3 linked regions of the Coturnix japonica genome follow. The protein of the gene in region 2 interacts with the protein of the main gene of each other region in a pairwise test. Links are inferred from orthologs where the notes say so. Each region holds a gene or a part of one and is shown on either strand. Other genes may lie near its edges.

The links.
Region 1: the proteins of RFX6 (region 2) and FRS3 interact in binary tests that used the Homo sapiens proteins (3 or more experiments, as listed by UniProt). The two-hybrid records come from large-scale screens. The link is inferred for Coturnix japonica from reciprocal best matches to the Homo sapiens genes RFX6 and FRS3.
Region 3: the proteins of RFX6 (region 2) and SS18L1 interact in binary tests that used the Homo sapiens proteins (3 or more experiments, as listed by UniProt). The two-hybrid records come from large-scale screens. The link is inferred for Coturnix japonica from reciprocal best matches to the Homo sapiens genes RFX6 and SS18L1.

What each region holds. Positions count from the first base shown.
Region 1 is NC_029541.1:4,688,107-4,692,295, reverse strand, and holds the start of FRS3 (fibroblast growth factor receptor substrate 3), read left to right. Parts: upstream 1-1,290; 5' UTR 1,291-1,517; intron 1,518-1,831; exon of another isoform or gene 1,832-2,025; intron 2,026-2,608; exon of another isoform or gene 2,609-2,631; intron 2,632-2,736; 5' UTR 2,737-2,871; intron 2,872-3,051; 5' UTR 3,052-3,074; coding exon 3,075-3,140; intron 3,141-3,663; coding exon 3,664-3,850; intron 3,851-4,189. UniProt on the Homo sapiens protein: Adapter protein that links FGF and NGF receptors to downstream signaling pathways. Involved in the activation of MAP kinases. Down-regulates ERK2 signaling by interfering with the phosphorylation and nuclear translocation of ERK2.
Region 2 is NC_029518.1:57,929,746-57,933,927, forward strand, and holds the start of RFX6 (DNA-binding protein RFX6), read right to left. Parts: upstream 2,905-4,182; 5' UTR 1,313-2,904; coding exon 1,129-1,312; intron 991-1,128; coding exon 834-990; intron 1-833. UniProt on the Homo sapiens protein: Transcription factor required to direct islet cell differentiation during endocrine pancreas development. Specifically required for the differentiation of 4 of the 5 islet cell types and for the production of insulin.
Region 3 is NC_029535.1:6,919,242-6,922,860, forward strand, and holds part of SS18L1 (calcium-responsive transactivator), read left to right. Parts: coding exon 1-71; intron 72-850; coding exon 851-995; intron 996-3,619. UniProt on the Homo sapiens protein: Transcriptional activator which is required for calcium-dependent dendritic growth and branching in cortical neurons. Recruits CREB-binding protein (CREBBP) to nuclear bodies.

The sequences.
Region 1 (4,189 bases), on a different chromosome or scaffold from region 2:
TTTCTCTCTTTCTTTTTTTCTTTTTTTTCTTTTTTTTTCCTCTTTCTTTTTTTCTTCTTTTCTTTTCTTTTCTTTTTTTTTTTTTTCTTTTTTTCCTGTTGTTGTTGTTGTTTCAATCCTCCTGCCCAGGAAACTGGAGCCCTGTCAGCCGGGGTCCCAATTAGAGGTTCGTTAGCCTAAACCTCCAGCGGCAGCCAATGGAGGGAGCGGGGAGGGGACGGGCAGGGCCCGGCGCAGTGTTAACCCTGCAGGGATCGCGCTCCCATCGCATCGCGTTTTCTCGCCACCTCTTATTTTCCGACCATCCCCGCCCCGCTTCGCCCCGGGTCGGCGTTTGGGCGGCTTTTATCATCCGCCGCGATGTATTTTTTCGTCCCTACATCAGAAAGAACCGGAGCTTCATAAAAGAGGGGAGGTGTCATTACGCCCCGGCGTTGAGGTGGGGGAGCTCCGCGGGGCTCTGGCCGGAGGCGGCCGGGATGTCCTACTTTCCTCCCAGAGCTTCGGCAATGGCAGGAGTCGGAGCAGGAGCCGCGTCGGGGCCGCGCTCCGGTTCGTGCCCGCCCTGTTGTGTGTCCCTGATTTCTGAGATTTCCATTTTGCAGCCGCAGTGTTTTATCCTCCCTGTAAAACCCCCCGTGCTGCGGATGGAGCAGTGTGCGGGGTGTGGGGGGGGGTACAGGGGTCGGGGATACTGAGCCCCCCCCCCTCCCTGCTGCCACCCACAGGGAGACACGTGGGGCTGAACAGCGACTGTTCCCAGGGACCCCACAGGGCGCAGCCTCGCTCCGGGGGCGGTCAGAGCCAGAGCTGCGCTGTGTGGGCATGGGGCGGACTTTGACCCCACGGCCCCACAGCCGCCAGCGGAGCGTCAGGGGAGGGGGCGGGGGGCAAAGTCCGCACGGGGACAGCGCTGCGGGGGGGGGGGGTCCTGCAGCTGGAGTCAGTCACTGTGTTGGAGTCAGTCACTGCGCTGAGGGCACCGCAGGGACCCCCCGAGCTCCGGCTGCGTGTGGGGGGGCACCGACCCCTTCTACACAGCCCCGTGCCGCCCCGATCCCCCCTGCAATCCCACCCACCCCCCGCTCCTTTATAACTCCCGGCTCTCCGACCCCTTTCTGTCGCACTGACCCCTCCGATAGACCCCCCGCCCCATAACTCCCCACCTATCCCCATATCCCCCATTACCCCCGTCTCTCTTCGCCCCGCCCCTTACACTGACCCCTCCCCCTCCTTTAGCCCCTCCCCCCATCCCTGCTCTCGGTGGTGGCGCCCCCTTCTGGCCGCTCCGCCGCCTGCCCGGGGTCCTCCCAGCGCGACGCTCTAGGCGGCGGCCGGCGGACTCACTCGCTGCTCCCGGCGGCCCCGGGCCGGGCCGTGGGACGCGGCGCTGGCGGGTCCCGGTCCCCGACCCGGAGCTCGCAGCCCTTGGGCCGGGCCGGGTCCTGGTCCCGGTCCGGTTCGTAGCTTTGGGCCCGGCCTCAGCTCCCGGACGGCGGAGCCGGGCAGCGCCTCAGGTACCGACCCACGGCCGGGCCTCGTCCCGCAGCGCCGCTCCCACCCGCTCCATTAACCCCTTTGTGTCCCCCCCTCATTCCTCCCCCGTTGCCCCGTTGCCCCTTTGCCCCCCCCCCCGTTTCCCGTTGCGCTCCATCCTCCCCCGGTCCCATTTCCCCCGCCCCATTGCCGGGTTCTGGTTCTGGTCGTTGTGTTCGTCTGGAGCCCGATGGGGGTTGGGGGGGGGGGGCTGGGTGAAGGGCTGAGCTGTTGCCCCCCGCCATGGCCGCCCCTCAAGGCTGGGGTCTCACTGTGCTCCTCCTCCTGGCTGCAGTGAGTTCAGGGCAGGTGATGGGGCTCCATCCCTGAGCTGGAGGGAGAGGGGAGCAAAGAAGAGAGGGCAAAGATAACGTGTTTTCTGTGGGATTCTTGTTTCCGTGAGAGCACTGATGGGATGGCAGCCCCCACGACAAGGAGCCCAGGGACCAGCCCCAGGATTCGGCTGCAGATCAGCAATCGGTGCTGAAGGTCAGTGAGGGATAAAGCCGTGCAGTGATGGAGATGTGCTGGGTGATGGCAGCTCCAGCCTGCCCCGCTCCAAGCCTCCCTCCACTGGAGGACTGTGCATTAGGGGTGTGGATGCAGCAGGGAGGTGTTGAAGGGCTGGAGCTGAGGCCGGGTGACGTGGAGCTGCAGGGAAGGTCGGTAGGTTGTGGTTTGATTTGAGAACCAAACAGGGGAGTCTCTGCAGCAGCACAGGGATGTGGCCCCAGGAGTCATCGCTGTGTTGGAGGGTCTGGTGCTGAACCCAGTGCTGCGCAGTGGGTGTGGATCTGTTAGGGCTGCTTCAGAGTTGCCCTATTTCCTCACTACTGGGTATAACTCCTGTGTGCTCCGTGCTCGCACTCACTGCCTGTGAGCAGACAGCTGAATTGTGTTATTTGGCATTTCTTAGTTTTCAGAGTCTGAAACGGGCTGGTAGTTGTGTTCAGTTGCTGACAGGGCTGTTGTTCTGTGTCTCATAAGGACCTTCCATCCAATGAAGGCACCTTCCCATACCCGAGCAGCAGATGTCACGTGCCCTGAGTCCTCGCTGCTCTCTGCTCTTCCTGGGTACAATCCCAAAGCTGAGAGGTCAAATATCTCTTAGTTTTAGGTTTTCTAGATGTGTTTCTTTCCTTCCCCACATGTTTATTCTTCTCTCTTTTCTTATCTCTTGAACTGTAACTTTCTTGCCAGGTGGAAGATGGGGCCATTTCCCTCGTGTTCTGGGTGACTGACACCTGGGTACCATGAAGTCCTGAAGGAGATAAAGGGACGGCAGTAGTGGGATTTTCTCACCTTCAGAAAACCCAAGCAACCACTTGCCTAATGGTAAGAAAGCTGTTATTCTTAATTAGGTTTATACTGCACAGGGTCCATTCATTGGGGAACATGTCATGAAGTTCTCAAAGCAAAAAGCATCTGAGTTCCAAACAGGCTGAGCCACACGCAGGGACACCCAGGAGGGAATGGGCTGTAATTTGATTGCTCTCTCCTGTGTCCTTTCCCCAGGGATTACCTCTCCTGCTGCCGTCATGGGGAGCTGCTGCAGTTGTCTGTGTGGAGACAGCATCCCAGACAACCACCCCACCAAATTTAAGGTAAGTGTTGGGCCTTCATCCCCATTAGAGAATTTATAGCAGCTCTGACTGCTTGCAAAGCTCAGCGTGGGTTGGGCTCTGGGCATGGAAGCAAAGAAAAACTGCTCTTACAGACAAGTCTTTCACTTGATAAGATTTGCAAACATGTTGCTGTTTTTTTTTCTTTTTTCCCTTTAATTAAGTACCCTCTGCTGCAGATATGTTTCATATTTGCAGTAGAAATTTCCTCTACGCTGAGATTCAGCCTGAGCAAGGAAATGGAGAACTGGAGAGAAACCTTTTATTGCTCAGGGCTGTGATCCAGTGTCTGTGCTGAGACTCATCAGCTGAACTGCTGAGCACCAAGTCTCCAGCCCTGTCAGCTCTGTGCTTTCTGCCAGCAGTGAATCTGTGCTCTCAGCTGAAAAAAGGGCATCTGAGGAAATGAAGGGGGAATTACAGCATCTTAGTGGCAGGGCCTTTTTTTCCCCCCCCTTTCCTAAACACACCAAGCTTCCTGATGTGAGCTGCGTGGTTTCTGCAGGTAACGAACGTGGACGATGAAGGTAATGAGCTGGGATCTGGGGTTATGGAGCTGACGCAGACGGAGCTCATCTTGCACACTCACAAGAGAGATGCAGTCAGGTGGCCCTACCTCTGCCTGCGCCGCTATGGCTACGACTCCAACCTCTTCTCCTTCGAGAGCGGCCGTCGCTGCCACACGGGGCAGGGTGAGTGCTGGCTGCTTCATGAAGCAGGAGCTACGGGGTTTCTGCTTGTGGCTTCCCACAATCCTGCATCTGAGGAACCAGCAGGTGTTCCTGCAGCCTCTGATCCCCCCGAACACCCCATGTGCATGCACGTGCAGTTGATACTCAATTAAAATACTAATGGGAGTGCTCCTGTGGCTCAGAACCTGGGTGTAAGTCTGGCAGTCTCATCTTGCATGGGCACTTAGGAGGTAACTGGCGAACCAGGCTTCAGCTGAAGTTTGCAGCAGATGGAACATACTTAATGTCCGAGTGTTACATCTCAGCTCCAAACTTGGTACCAGGCACTGAGCAGCCCAG
Region 2 (4,182 bases):
TAAGTCAGATGTAAACTAAAGTAAGAAACTGAGATATTCACATTATTCTTGCTTTTCGGTTATAAGGAAAACTCTAGATTTACAGCCTGTGTCTGGTAACTATGCTCCCATTTAATTCAACAGTACTGCTCACTAACTTCCAGAGTACTTTAAGAAAGACCTGTAGCAGATAAAGCCTACAGAATTTGAGCTCCACTTTGGTTTAGTTTTTACCAAACTAAAACAGAGTTAGGGCGTCTGTGAGTGGTAGAATTTAATGCAAAAAGTACAGCGAGAAACAATGAAAATGTAACTGTTGTTCCCATTTAGAGTAATAAAAGCTAATGTAATTCTTAGGTAATTTCTCGTTTCTAAACTTTTTAAAGACATTTGGGTTTAATGTTTCTGCAAAGAAGACATTACAATGTTATTTTACTGAAACAAAATAACAGAGAAACGACTATATACATATTAGTACAGTATTCCTACTAAGCCAGGATGACCAGCTAAATAAGCGCAGTTTCTTTCCATATTGGATGCCTGGATCACACGTCCAGGTACAATAAGCTGATCCACAGTGCTTTCTGTCCCGAATAAATCTGATCTTCCATCACCTCTCACAGCCGTGTGCCAAAGGAACCAGATAGAGGTTTCTGCTAACAGGCAAACCTCCGCTAATTCAAAGCATCAGGAATTTGAGGGAGACAAGGGTTATCAAAAGTTGGAATAAGCTCAAGGAACCCAACGAACGCAGCCACTGCCAACGAGCGGTGCGATGCCGCTCCTGTTGCTGGCACAGCCCCGAGGCGGAGGAGCGGCCCTCTGGGAGACCCCCCCCGTCCAGCCGGCCCTACCACTGCAGGGTGAGCTGCGTCTGCTTCTTCTTGTCCTTCATCATCTGCGTGATGCTCTTCTTCGGGGACGGGCTCTTGTCCGCAGCTCTCAGTTTGCCGTCGCGAGTATTCGCATCCTCTTCTTCCGAGGAGAGAGTCTCGCCGTTAAAAGGCACTTCTGCGCGAGAAGGAGCGAAGAGAGAAGCAGCCCGGGGACGGCATTAGGTCGGCAGCACACCGTCCCCCCGAGCATCCCGTTAAACCGGCGCTGCCCCACGGCCGGGCCCTCCCCAGCGGCTCTCCCCGCGGTCCTCACCCGACTTGACGGCAGCGGGCAACTCCGTCAGCCCCCTCCCGGCTCCCAGCCCTTCCTCGGCGTAGGGCAGCAAGCCGCCCGCCAGCAGCTCCACGTAGCACTCCTCCGGCCCGGCGGTGGCGGACATCGCCTGCGTGGCCGGGAGGTGCAGGAAGGCGTCCTCTTGCTCGGGCCCCTTGGCCATGCTGCTCAGCGGCACCTGCCTCGCCTCGCCGCCGCGCCCATGGGCTGCCGAACGGGACGGGGCGGGCGTAGGGCAGTGCGGGCCGCTTGTGCGAGGCTGCGGTGGCGGGGATAGTCGAACGAGAGGAGAGGAAAGGCGAAGAGAGAAACAGGTGTGACCCGGGAGGCGGCGGGTTCAGGGCGCCCCTCCCTCCTGACGGCAACTCCCGGGGGAGTCGGGGCTGGGGGCACGAAAGAACGGGTCTGCAGGGGCTTAATGATTAACTGCCGGCTGCGTGCGGAGGAGCACCTCGGAGTTCTCTCCTTACTTCAGTCGTGATGCTATACACAGCTTAATTCGTATCACCGTGTCTGTATATGACTTCTGTCAGCTCTCAGCATAACTCACAGAGACAGTTCAGCTTCTGTTCTGAGGCTACAGTAAAATCTTATCCCGTTCTCTGACTTCTCTAAGTACTTCAGAGCCTGACCCACGAGGATCAGTATTTCTACAGTGTGACAAAACTTTCCAGCTACAAACTTACACCGAATCTCTAGTAAGCAAAATCCTATATGCCACTGTCTTCCTGGTAACAGAGAGCTAAATGTGGTATCCCTTGTGTAAGAACAGGATTCTCCTTCACTGTTACTTCAGAATATCTTCCATGGCACAAATTCTAGCCATCAAGACATGAACCAGGTCGTTTCCACCCCTGGGCAACAGTAATTTGTAGTCACTTCCTGTTGCATCTGTGGGTCAAGAGCTGCTTCATCGTAGAATCACAGAACAGTTTGGGTTGGAAGGGACCTTAGAGCCCATACAGTTCCAATCTGCTGTTATGAGCAGGGCTGCCTCCAACTTGATCATGCTGCCCATCCAACCTGGCCGTGAATACCTCCAGGGATGAGGCATCTACAGCTTCTCCCTTTGCACTGCCTCTGGACTGCCCCAACCCTGAGACCACTAAGGGTAACATCCCTGTGACTTTCATTCAGGCATCCCTTCAGTTACTGGAAGGCAGTGACGATATCTCACTGGAACTTTCTCTTCTCTGAGCTGAGCAAACCCAGCATCCTCAAGCTATTTTCATAGGAGAGGTGCTCCAGCTCTCTGATCTTCATAGGCCTCTTCTGGACCCACCCCAACAGCACTGTATCCTTCCCATACTGGGGGCCCCAGGCCTGGACTTCCTACTCTGGATAGGCCTTCACAAAGGCAGAGCAGGGAGGCACAATCACCTCCCTCACCCTGCTGGCCACCCATTTACCTGAAGCTGATTCTGATTTAAGAACTCTTTTGGTAAATGAAAGTTATTGGATTTAATAACTTCCTCAGGCTCATACAAACACTCCTATCTCTACTAGCTCCTCCAAAGCAAGTGAATGGCTATCGTGCAGCATTAACAGCTCTGTATGAAACTGGGCATATGTTTGCAGCAGTAAAGAAAGAAAAATGGATTGGCTAGTGCTCCTGAGCAAACTCATGTTTAAAGACTGCATGAGAAAAGTGCATCATCCACTGCCAATATGTGAACAAACATATCTGTTTTGTAATAAACAGAAATGAGGAAGTTCTTCCTGTAAGTAATGATAAATTACATACAAATTATACTTATCTGACAGGGAATAGTGTTCCTTAATAAAATCTAATTGTTTTTATAATATTCTACATGAAATCACTGGTACTGAAAATAACTTATAGGAGAGAAATATTTGTCCAGGCAGGGACAGGTAAATTCTAGAGTTCAAGCTGTGCTCTCGCAGCTGTAAAACAACCAGATCCCTCTGCTTTATGGAATAGATTTTACTCCACGTTGTCTACTGTATGAGACACTGATAGTTGGTGCTGTGTCTGTTTGCAAAGTCACAGGGATTGCAGGGGTCAGCAGCAATGGCATATTTCTTATCACCACAGAAACTTTCTTTCCCTTACATGTTAACTTCTCAGCAGCCATCCTGTTGTGATTTGTAGTCAGGGAGTTCACAGAGTAGTTTTAAATTTGATGTCTCTGATGCCGGTGTGGTACATCCCTAGTATTTGAGTGACACCATGAAACTCCTGACATGGCTTGCCAAAACCAGTCAAAAAGCCCAGAGAATTGTCCACAAGTTTGCAGCCTGCAAGTAATTTTCTTTGCTAAGGTAATTGCCCTTGATTTAGTCTTCATCTTTTATTTTACTTATTTCAGCTCTTTACTTTCTTTCAGGCCATTCCTGTTTCCATTCAGTTCCTATCACTCTCTTTGTTCCACGTTCCTTCAATTTTCAATTCCAACAGTATGTTAAGCAGGATGTTCCTTGCTTGAAATTTGCTTTCAGTGACAATTTTGCTATCAATTATGTTTATTTGCCTAACTGCCCCAAACCCTTTTCCTCACTAAAATGTTCTGAAGCACTTATTTCATCATAAGCAAAATACCAGAAGTCCATCTTCTATTTAATGGACCTTAAATGTGAGAAGTTGTCACACCTGCTTATTGAAAAGTGTTGATTTAAGGAAACTGAAAAGATCTCTTGCAAAATAACCAGCACAGTGTATACTACTGGCCTTACTCGAAGGAGTTAATTCCTAGTTTTCTGCTGTTTGATATAATCTGGGAAGCATTCATCCTGATGGAAAGGTCATATTACATATAAACAAAACACACTGCTTTCATTATCACTAGCATTCTTATCCTGGTGCTCTATGCCAAGGCTGGAAATGTGCTCTAAGACCCTTTAGCAAACATCTTGCAAATGCAAAACCAACATATTCACAATGGTTTTCATGATAGAAATTGCCAGAATGTAGCTCCTGCTTTAAACTGTTGCCCAGGAGTCCAGGAGTCAATAACAGACTCCTGGACTCAGCCTCCTGATGTAGGAACTGCATTTGTTGTTGTTGTGTTTTTT
Region 3 (3,619 bases), on a different chromosome or scaffold from region 2:
TGCACAGAAACCTCGTTTACTTGGCAACAATAGCAGATTCTAACCAGAATATGCAGTCCTTGCTTCCTGCTGTAAGTACCGATGCTACCACCATGTATATTTACTGTGCCAGAGGGAAACGTGCTTTGATGCAGACACTGATCAGTGTCAGTAAACCTTTTTTTTTGGCTGGTGGTTGTGCAGACCAGCAACCACATGAAAAGCTACTTTTCCTGTGTTTCAAATGCGTTCTTTGGGATATTTGTGTTAATATCTGTCTCTGTGGCCTAATTTCTAAATACTGGAAATGCTGCAGTGTTACATATCTGAGCAGGATCCATTTGGTCCAGATTCATTCTTCTTTGCCTGTTCTTACTGTAAAAGTCACTCTTTTGTATCAGAATTTTCCTTCAGTATTTGGGCATTGGCTTGCTTTTAAAAACCGAGTTATTGCTGAACGGGTTGATTTTAGAAGTATCCAACATAACACGAAATGCACAATAGCTTTATGCTTGGCAAAGGCCAATTTGTCACCACTCTGCTGTATGGTGTTTGCAAAGGCATTTCCCCACAGCAGTTACTTTCAGTCTGGTCCAAATGAAATTCATCTAAGTACAGCAGAACGGGCACAGAAGCCGATCTCTGTTAGAAGCACAGCTTGGAGACCTCTGCTGTGCTGCCTGCTGGCTTCCCCGTGTCACGCTGAGTGTCATTCACACACGCTAGTCAAATGGGAGCAGGTTTGCTCAGAAAGCGAGGGAAGCACACGCACTTGAGGCAGTTTTTAGTCACGCTTGGGCTAATTTGAGGGTGATTATTTTTCTAAATAAAACCTAACACAAAATTTGCTTCTCCTCCTTGTTGTTTGCAGCCACCAACGCAAAACATAAACTTGGGCCCGGGAGGAATGACTCAGAGCGCATCCAACCAATCTCTTCATTCACAGAGCAATCTCAGTGATGCAATCGGGACGGGCCTTCCTCCTTCCTCCCTCATGCAGAGTCAGATTAGCAATGGTGAGCCTTGGTCCCCTTTGTGCTGCTTTGCTGTTGCTTGGCAACAAAATCATTAATGCAGAAAATACTTACGGAGCTGTAAAAGATCTCACTCACCTTTCAGGCAGATGGGGATTTCTGGGACGTGCTGGAATCATCACAAAATGGCTCCAGTCTGTAACGCTGTTGGGTTCTGCCAGGCCTCCAGCCTGCTTAGTAATTCGATGGGAGAAATTAAAAACAGTTATAAAATGTCTAATGAGAATCACCAAGTAAAGACGCCTCCAAGTCTCTAGTTACAAAATGATCTATTGCAGCACTTTGCTCTTGAAGATGGTGGGGCTGGCTGGGGTAAAATGGGATCGGTTGCATGACTAACTGTACAACCAAGCCTTTAGATTGCAGAGCTCTTCTAGGCTAGATGGCTTTTTGGAAGACAAAATGGTGTTACATCAGCCTTTGTCTTCTACAGAAGCTTTCAGGGATTGTACTACGCAGCCAAAGAGTTTGCACAGACATTTTATATGGCTAAGATAAATACACACACATTTATCTATTGGTTTCTTTGGTTCTCGCAACTAAAAAGAAGCTGTGATTTTTGTTGTTGTTGTTGTTGACGTTGTATTAATAGTCCATAGTATGAATCATCCATTTACTTATTTTGTACTTCAAGGTTACTTTGTCAGCTCTTGTTTATGTGGGTCTGTCCCAAAGTGAGAGAGACAAAAACAATGTCTATAAATAGAAGGAAGTGACTGTAAAATCACAGACCTTGGCAGGGGAGCCCAGGAGCAGATGCAAGCAATGAAATTACTTCTGAGTTTTTAGAGATCTATTTGTGGCCAAGCTGGTGGGACCTCTGGAACAAATGGAGGAGGTGCCTCCTTTGATACACTTCCAGCTGTAGAGAGGAATTCATCTGTGCCACCTTTCAGAAAGATTTATTAAGTAGTATTACAGTACATCAGTCCCTAACCCAGTGCTAAGTGGACAGCTTACTCTTTGTCCAGATGTTTTGACCAAGGCTCTGCACCTGCATAGTACCAGCTTGTTATGAAAGTACTGGTCCACTGGAGGCTGGTCTGAAGGCAGAGCTGCTCTCCAAAAGGAAGGTGTGACTGTGAATGCACTAGCCTGCCTCTCTTGGCGTGCTGTGAGTAGCCCAGGGAACAGCAGCAGTGATGGCACCTTAAGCTATACGACATCCAACCCTCAGCAGGTACAGCATTGTTAAAGGGGGAAGGGCAGGGAAAGACCTAAGACTAGTACATGTTATCCCTTATTGTCCTCACACTGGCCTTTAGAGGAATCACCTGTGCAGCAGTCACTAGGTGATACCTTAAATGCATGATAATTACCAGCAGTGGCCATTAGGTCAATAACTAATGATAACTAATGGTAATTCTGCCTGTGGGGACAGGTTAAAACCGACTGACGTACTTGTTTCAAGTAACCCAACAGCCAGTCGGTAATTCTTCATGCCACAGCCCTGCAGGCAGAGCCTGTACATTCAGACATAGGTAGGGAAGCTCAGCTCCAAACCAACTGGGGAATCCTCGCTGTTCAGAAGTCATGAATGAGGCCTTTCAAGGACAAAACTCAGCTCCCTTAGATCCACAGGAGTATGAAAGAGGTTCAGTGCTTTGTATTTGCCTTATTGTTCCAGTATTTTTATTTAAACACTTTTGGTCACGCTTTTGTATTTTCCTTTACAATCATGAATTGGCCAAAGTTTTTTGTTGATGTTGGTTTCTTTGGGGGAGTACTTTAAAGAAAGCCCGGATTCTCACATTTTCCCATGCTAATAGGGCAAGATTTACCAACAGATGCTTTACTGCGAGCCCGGGCTCTTTCACTCAGTGCCTGCAGATGCCATTCAAACAGCACATGGTTTTGTGCTGCACGAAAACAAGCATCAGCTTTAGAAGATACAGAGAACTCAGGGAGCACAGAGCTCTGTCGCAGCGTGTCCCTCTGGTTCTGCAGATTTCAGTAGGAATAGCTCAGTTTCTTTGCTATTAGAAATGCTGCTTCTCTCCATGAGAGGAAAATATAATAACCAACAGCAAATTCTCTGTTTCTGATGACTATAAATATCATTAGGAGCAGTTAATGAGGTTTGCAGTAAGAGAATTAAACATTTTTTTCAGAGGCTGTAGATAGGCTTAATAACCAAATTGAAATATCACCATTGGAATATAATTCTGTCTCTTCTAGGGATCCTGCTTGTCTTCCATTCTATCTAAATTAATTTGGTAGGCAACAACACACAGCTGAACTTAGATAGCCAGCTTCCCAAAACTCACCCGTAAAAGTACTTAAAACAACTAACAACAAACATCAGGAGCAAATTTTACCTAATTTTTGTTATCCAACAACAAGAGAATTTAAGAAAGGAAAAAGGAAGCAGCGCAGTGCAGGGGAAGCAGAATGGTGCTCACTGGGGTACAACTGGAGCAGCCCAGTGGTTATGGACAGTGATACTGGTTACAAGGTGCTGTAACAGCAGTGGTTATGATGGAGACTTGGAAAATATGCCTTCAGAAAGGCTGAGGTGGTTTCAATCAGACTTCCAGAGATGGAAAGATAAGCTTGTCCTCCCGGTCCGATGAGGGGGGCCCTGATGCTTCTTAAGCCTGAGTGAG